Linked DNA regions of Rattus norvegicus. The protein of the gene in region 1 purifies or fractionates together with the protein of each later gene. This does not show direct contact. Links are inferred from orthologs where the notes say so. Each region holds a gene or a part of one and is shown in the gene's direction. Other genes may lie near its edges. The genes, in order: Zzz3 and Kat14.

Region 1 (3,813 bases):
TGGACTGTTTTCTACCTGAGAATCTCTACTAATGTGATATGACGTCCAGATTGGAAAGCACCTGCTGTGCTCTGAGTGAACCGTGAATGTATCTAGTCAGAACTCCAGGATCTTAAATGGAATCCTTTATTCCCTTAAAATTTGGTTTTGGGTTTGGTACAGAAAAAACTTGAACAGCTACTCCTGAAGTACCCTCCTGAAGAAGTAGAATCTCGGCGGTGGCAGAAGATTGCTGATGAACTGGGCAACCGGACAGCCAAACAGGTGATGGGGATTGCTGCAGACTGAGTGGCAGATGGTTTCCGGTGGGCAGTTCTGCAGCCACACCAGCACAACTGATAACCATTGCTAGCTTTGGTGTACGGTAGTTTTAAATTGATTAGTACTGCTATTTTTGATAAGAAAGCAGAAAGTTGATAGCAGAAATAGCATAAATAACACTTCTTTGTGTCAATGTAAAACATTTAATATATGTATGTGTATGTATACATATGTATGTACCTTTGTGTGTGTGTGTGTGTGTGTGTGTGTGTGTGTGTGTGTGTATGTATGCTCATGCATGCATTGGACCTTGCATCTCCTGAGTGCTTAGTGAATGTGCTGACAGTCCTCTTTGTTAGACTGTGCTGTTGGATTTTGAGGCATCTCATTAATACCATCCCTGATTGTCTTTCTGAGAATGGACACTGTAGTGTCCTTCATCATGCCCGTCTATCTGTGTCACTGACAGAGAGGGCCGCTGTAGTGTCCTTCATCAGCCCGTCTATCTGTGTCACTGACAGAGAGGGCCGCATATGTGCTCCTCAGTGCTCACCAGTGGAATGATTGTTTAGCTTTGGAATCAAAAAAACTTATTACTTGAATTGGTTTTGTCTAGGTTTTTACTTATAAATGTCTTTGATGACAATTTAAAAGTTTACTTCTTGATTTAGTTGTTAGCACTTAAAACTTCTCAAATATCACATTATTTCATTATGTTGAAAGAGCTGTCATGTTTCTTTAGGTTGCCAGTCGTGTACAGAAGTATTTCATAAAGCTAACTAAAGCCGGCATACCAGTTCCAGGCAGAACACCTAACTTATATATATACTCCAGGAAGGTAAGGAGTATAGACAGGAGCAAACCTCAGGGAGGATCTCTGGGTTCGGAACTGCTGTGTGGGTGTGTGTCAATGAAGTGCGCTCCTCTTCATTTTGACATTTCGCTGTGTAGAGTATAAATGCAGACTAAGACTCCATTGTTGCTGCTTAGAAGAATACACTGAGTTTTAAGAGTTCTTCATTGAGGGGTTGGGGATTTGGCTCAGTGGTAGAGCGCTTGCCTAGCGAGTGCTAGGCCCTGGGTTCGGTCCCCAGCTCCAAAAAAAAAAAAAAAAAAAAAAGAGTTCTTCATTGTTTTCTTGGGAGTAATTATGAATGAGTACTACTCCAAGCCTTTTTATACTATGATTCTGTGTTGGGAATGTCTTAGTGATGTTAGCCTTCAAATGTAGGCCTGATTTCTCTGTGCTCTGTTGCGCAGACTGGAAATGTTACTGAGATGTTGAGCCCTCAGTGCAGTTGTAAGTAGTGTTCTCTCCCTGCCACTTCACAGTGAGAATACTGACAGGTGGCTGTTATGTCAGAAGCACACAGTGTTCTCAAACCTTTTTAATAGAAAGGCACAGTAGGCCATAATAACATACGTAAATTGTAAACTACTAAGCTGAGAACCATTGATTTTAGAGACAGAATCTCACTGTGTAGTTGGCCTAGAACTCGCTGTGTGGGTCAGGATTTGTGGTGGTCCTCCTGCCTCTGCTGGGAAGCAAGTACTAGGATTGTGGCTGAGTGCTAGTGTGCTGCTGGTTTCATAACTAGTGCCAGGCAGCCTTTTGCCCCCTCCCCCATTGCTTCAAAGTTCTAGGGAGGAAATGAGGGCCTTTAGCATTCAAGGTAAAGGGTCCACAGGAAGTCACCAACATGATAAGTCCTTATGACATCTCCTTCCTTACACCACTTTCAAATGTTACTCGGTAATGCTAGTTTATAGAATTCTACATTAAGAAGATTGTTTAAATAGTTCACGTCTTAGAATTTTTTTTAAAGATTTATTTTATTGTTTGAATTATGTCTATGTGGGCATGTGTATGTGAGTGGTGGTTCAACAGAGGCCTGTGGCATTGATTTTGGTTTTCTGTTTTGTTTGTTTTTTTTCTCCAGTTTTTCAAGACAGGTTTTTTTCTGTGTGGCTTTCCTGGAACTCATTCTATACACCAGGCTATCCTCACACTCTCTTGTGCAGGGATTAAAGGTGTGGACCACCACTGCCTGGTGTTTTAAGTTTGTGTTTTATGTACCAATGAACTATAGAGACTTTACAGCCTTGGATTACAGGAACCTCGTACACAGGCTCGTGACAGTTCAGCCTGTCAGCTTACACCTGTCATGGTTCTTACTTCATCCTCGTCTTCAGGGCCCCTCCCTCTTCTCCTTTCTCTCTTCCCTCTTTTTTCTGTGCTGTGGTTCGAACCCAGGACTTAATTGATGCTGAGCAAATGTTTGGCTATTGAGCTATATCCTCAACCCCTTAATAATTTTTCTAAATTAATTGTATTAATGTGTTGTTTTACACCTTGCATTATTACAACCAAGAGTTAATAAAGACCAAAAAGGAATAGTACTAGCAAAGTCTAAATTTGGTCCATTGTGTGTGTAGTCTCTTGTAAGTTAGTAGACATTGTGGCTGTTAAGGTCTAGAATACCACACTCATAATGGCTCTGGGCCATGGTGAGATCTGTCCAGTGGTTCTGTTCGTGTCCGTGGTATGTACTGGCATGAGTGGTATCTGCATTAGCCGCTGGTATGAGAGCTGTGCCACCACATAGCTCTAATCCACTTCTACCACTGCCTCACTATGAAGCTCCCCTCCTCCTGCCCATGCTTGTCTGTCTCCCAGTGAACGGTGATGGCTGCTTTGCTTTGGAGGAATGTCACAAGGATGAAGTGATAATGCCATAAAGCACGTGGTCGCTCAGTGCTAGGTGATTGTTTTATAGACTCAGATAGTGTGGAAACCTCTCTCTCTCTCTCTCTCTCTCTCTCTCTCTCTCTCTGAGTAGTTATTTGACTGGCTTCAATCATTTTATCTTCTTTGATTTTCTGTGTAAGTTGATCATAAGAGTCTGTGCAGCCAGCATTGAGTACTGTAACTGGTAGGGTGTGTATGGTTTTGATTCTATTAATGATTTCTCACTCTCTCACTAAAACAATTGTTTTCTCCTGTAGTCCTCAACGAGCAGGCGACAGCACCCCCTTAATAAGCACCTCTTTAAACCCTCCACTTTCATGACTTCACATGAGCCACCAGTGTACATGGATGAAGATGATGAGCGGTCCTGTCCCCATAGCCACATGAGCACTGCTGTCGAGGAGGCCTCAGTAAGTTACTCCCTGTTTTATACAGCTGACTGTACAATAGGAAATAAATGATTTTCTGATTATCCCTGCTGACATGTCCCCTTTAAGAGTTAATATGCTTTTAGTTTTTTTTTTTTGTTTGTTTGTTTGGTTTTTTTTTGAAGATTCAGCATAGGTGTAAGAAGAGTAGCCCAGTGAACCTGTATTCTGTCTCTGAGCTTCTGTAATTGTCACTGGGCAGTATTTGGTTTACACATCATCCCACCCAGGTCCACTTCAGCTTAATTTGGAGGGAGTTCCAGACACTAAATTGAGGTTTCTGAGAAGGTAACTTTTCCTGTAGTGGAATATTTGCTTGCCCCAGTAGGATGTGTGTACACATACTCGCTCAGGGCCCTGTACATGCTAATAAGC
Region 2 (4,338 bases), on another chromosome or scaffold:
CAGAGGTAGTCAGATCTCAGTGAGTTTGAGGCCAGCCTGGTCTACATAATGAGTTCTAGGACAGTCAAGATTACATAGAAAGATGCAGATGCTGACTCTGAAAAGAAAAATGAACTGGAGAGATGGCACTGGTTGCTTTTGTAGAGGAACTGGGTTTCAGTCCAGAGCTATCTGTAGCTGCAGTGCCATGGTATAGGTCACTCTCTTCTGGCCTCAACACTGTACCTGCATAACTTGTAGCCACAACACCCATGCAGATAAAATAAAATTTAAAAAAAAATAATAAAAATATTCTTTTTTTTTTCCTTTTTTCTTTTTTTTTCGGAGCTGGGGACCGAACCCAGGGCCTTGCACTTGATAGGCAAGCGCTCTACCACTGAGCTAAATCCCCAACCCAAAAATATTCTTATGAGGGATTGGGGATTAGCTCAGTGGTAGAGCGCTTGCCTAGCAAGCACAAGGCCCTGGGTTCGGTCCCCAGCTCCGAAAAAAAAAAATTCTTATGAAGTGTCTGTTTCAAATATGCCCCTCTGAGCTACAAAGTATAGAGTATTTGCAGTAGTGACGGAGCAGACCTTTTAAATTCACATTAGGCACCAGGTTCACATTCCGAGATTCTGCGTCTAGTGTTTTTCAAGGTAATGACCCCTGAGGAACTTATCATTTAATGGTAATAGTCCTTTTTCTTTCTTTCTAATCTAATTGATTGAGAATTTTATATTTCTGCCTTTACATGATAAAGTCCTGTATTTTCTCACACCCTTACTGTTCTTTTTCTTGGTATTTATTGTTTGTCTTAGGTAACTGCTTATAGTTTACAGTTTTTCTGTACTGATTCATCAGATTTTAAAAGTATCACTTTCCAATTAAATTTATAAAATTCAGCATAGTGCAGCCTTTTAAATTAATTTTTTAAAATCAATTCCCTTTAAATTTTCTGTGTTCAGGGATTTCTTAAAATGTGATGAGAAGCCACTTAAGTATTAACATAACACATTACCAGATTTACTTGGTGGTTTCTTTATTTACATTGTACAGAAGGTTAAAATAGTAATTGGGTATTTAGAATTGGAACATTTCGAGTGTATTTTGGTGGCACTGTTATTTAGATTTGAAGGCACAGGATGGGAGCCACCTGTTCAGGGGGTAACTAAAATCTGCTTCTTGTGTTTTTAGAGGCTTCGTGACGGAGTGATCAGAGACATTGAGAGGCAGAATCAGAAAAAAGAAAACATTCGTCTTTTGGGAGAACAGATTATTTTGACTAAGCAACTTGAAGCAGAAAGAGAGAAGATGTTGGAGAAAGGATCTCAAAATACCTGACTTTGAGAAGCCGATGGGGCAGCGCTGAGTTGGTGTGTGTAACTGTGGGTGCGGTGTGTGGTAGAGAATAGCTAGTGAGAGCTGCCCCCAAAATCACTATCCAGTTACACTTCATTAACTGAAGGACAGTGGTCCTGTCTTCTGAATTGCTTCTTTTAAGAGTCTGTCGTGTGTGGAGAGAGTACTTGGGGGCAAATGCTCTTCTGAAGGTCTGTCTGGGGGATCCCTGCAACAGTGCCTGTCAGCTTAGGAGTGCAGGGGCGATGGATAGTAGCATCCACCTGAGTGGGCTCCTAAGTCGGCATGATGATGAAGCCACGAGAACGTCTACCTCGGAAGGGCTGGAGGAAGGTGAGGTGGAGGGAGAGACTCTCCTAATTGTGGAATCAGAGGATCAGGCATCAGTGGACTTATCTCACGACCAGAGTGGGGATTCCCTCAACAGCGATGAAGGAGATATATCATGGATGGAGGAGCAGCTGTCTTACTTCTGTGACAAGTGCCAAAAGTGGATCCCAGCCAGTAAGGAGCTTCTCGATTCCTTTGCTTGGTTGATCCCTATGTGATGGCTTGTTTCCAGTCTGTGAAAAACACTAATAAAATAGACTTGAATAAAAATATAATTATTATATTTATTATTAGTAGTCTAGTTTACCAAATGTAAATTTATTCCAGACCACTTTTTTAGTTCTTTAAAACAGTCATTCATTTTATATGTATGTGTGTGTGCCCGAGTGTATGTCACCATGTGCATGCAGTGCCTGCAAATGTCAAAGAGACATCAGATCCTGAAACTGCAGTTACATATGGTCCTGAGCCACTGTGGCCACCAGGTATTGAGCCTGTATCCTCTGCAAGCAAATTAAGTTCTCTTACTTGCTGAGCCATCTCTCCAGGCCCATAAAACCACATTTGTATTAATAAGAACTGTCTACCATTATCCCATTGTTAACATTCTGGATGGTAGCCCCCCACCCCCCAAAAAAAATTAGGAATCCTGTATTAAGTCATTGGCCATATTTTTCTAAGAAGATTATGCTGTGGGTTGGGGGACACATTCTGGTGTCAGTATAGAATTCAGGTTCTGTGAGTTATTTGACATTCGTGGAGTACTGCTGTTGTCTCCTGAGGGAAGGTTGGGATCAGCAGTCCAGTGGTGTTTGGTTGCTGCCTTTAGCCCAGGTTTGTTTTCTACCGTGGAACTCGTTCATCCTGGCAGGAGTCACAGCGCACAGATCTCGAGGTTCCAGCTGCCAGCTCCGTACGTAGCATGCCTCGCCAGGCCCTCTCGACTCTTAAACAGTGTTCTCCATTAGGCAAGAGATGAGCAAAGGCATGTGCCCTGGAGGGTTGCTTTGTACAAGAGTTCATAGCTAGTGTAACTCTTAATGAAGTTGGTCATTTTCTGGTATGTTGAAACTTTTATTAAAAATGAATTAAATTGTTCAAATAGCTACTGTAAATAGGTTAATAATAGCAGTGGTTAGAGAACAGACCTAGAATTGACTGTTTAGCTGGTGTTTGTTTCTCAGCTGTCTAGTAAAAACTGGTTTTCCCATCGTCCTCACCGGACAGATTTTTTTTTTTTTTTTCGGAGCTTGGAACCGAACCCAGGGCCTTGTGCTTGCTAGGCAAGCGCTCTACCACTGAGCTAAATCCCCAACCCCAGATTTTTTTTTTTTTTTCTTTTTCTTTTTTTCGGAGCTGGGGACCGAACCCAGGGCCTTGTGCTTCCTAGGCAAGCGCTCTACCACTGAGCTAAATCCCCAACCCCCCAACCCCAGATTTTTAAGGGGACTTTTATGGTTGGGCCCTACTAAGGTTTTTAGGGAGATAGGGTGGACTTTTCATTCTTTACAACTCTTTGATTCCTAGGATTTTGTACCTTTTTGTTTTCTCCCTGGAATATGCACCTGGGTGGCTCCCTTGCACATCTGTCCCTCAGGCAGCCCTTTCTTCTAGCTAGTGGCTGTTCCCCCTGGGCCCAGTAGACCTCTATTCCTTCCTAAATGGGGTTGAGCATCCCTTTCTCTGTCCTTACTCTGCCCTGGGATGCAAGGTACATTCTGCTCTGGAGGTTTTCATGTTGCACAATGCATCAGCATCACCTGGGAGCTTCAATGCAGAGCCCAGCCCCCACCCCAGAGACTGGAGCATTCCATAAGGGGGTGGACCTGACCTTAGGAAGGACATAAAGCCCAGCCACCTGGGTGGTTCCGATGCTCCACGGAAATCTACAACCAGTACAGTCCTGTTTACCTGTGTTCTTTGTGTGGGTCCTATCTGCCTTAGACATTGCATATCCAGTTCGAGCCTGGTGTGGCTGGCGGCACCAGCTGAGTATTCCCTGAAAGAATGAAGATGACTGGCCTAGAGGAGTCAGGAATGTGACTGCTGGGAGATCCAGCTAGAGCAACCATACCTGCTTTTCCAGGACCTTCCCCCTAACAGCTAAGGAGCCTTAGGTCTGGGAGAGGCAGGCACCTGGCTGCAGAAGGGGAAACAACCTTTTTCTCTTTCTCTCCTCCACTACTCTCCTGATGGCTGCAGAAGAAGAAAGATCTACCACGGGAAACTCGGAGAGCTAGTCGGTTAACTGAGCTGTTGGATCTCCACGGCACGAGGCAAATCCGTGATGTGACTTTTTGTTTTTTCTCCTAGGTCAGCTGAGGGAACAGCTCAGTTACCTTAAGGGCGATAACTTTTTCAGGTTTACTTGTGCCGATTGCTCGGCAGACGGCAAGGAGCAGTCCGAGAGGCTGAAGCTGACATGGCAGCAAGTGAGTACAGAGCTCTTCTCTGGGCACGTCAGGCCGGGTGGCCATCCAGAGTGAGGCGCTTTAGAGCGGTTTGCGGGGAGGGCGCTTTACAGTTCACAGTGGACATGCGCACACAATGTGTGGACGGAAGACTTCGCGGTTTTAAAACAAGGCTGCTAATTTAGTGAGTTCTCGAGACTCTTAGTCAATTTCATTTATGTCCTACCAAGCTTACACTCAACTGAAAACTAGGCCC

What was found.
Region 2: the proteins of Zzz3 (region 1) and Kat14 purify together in Homo sapiens (affinity purification with mass spectrometry; 4 studies listed by BioGRID and IntAct, with this or other methods). This does not show direct contact. The link is inferred for Rattus norvegicus from reciprocal best matches to the Homo sapiens genes ZZZ3 and KAT14.

Annotation. Positions count from the first base shown.
Region 1 is NC_086020.1:244,042,884-244,046,696, forward strand, and holds part of Zzz3 (ZZ-type zinc finger-containing protein 3), read left to right. Parts: intron 1-162; coding exon 163-264; intron 265-1,003; coding exon 1,004-1,099; intron 1,100-3,267; coding exon 3,268-3,420; intron 3,421-3,813.
Region 2 is NC_086021.1:152,193,233-152,197,570, forward strand, and holds the start of Kat14 (cysteine-rich protein 2-binding protein), read left to right. Parts: upstream 1-1,327; 5' UTR 1,328-1,586; coding exon 1,587-1,845; exon of another isoform or gene 1,846-1,941; intron 1,942-3,582; exon of another isoform or gene 3,583-3,984; coding exon 3,985-4,103; intron 4,104-4,338. Other genes in the region: protein PET117 homolog, mitochondrial, read left to right, coding at 1,177-1,323. UniProt on the Homo sapiens protein: Component of the ATAC complex, a complex with histone acetyltransferase activity on histones H3 and H4. May function as a scaffold for the ATAC complex to promote ATAC complex stability. Has also weak histone acetyltransferase activity toward histone H4.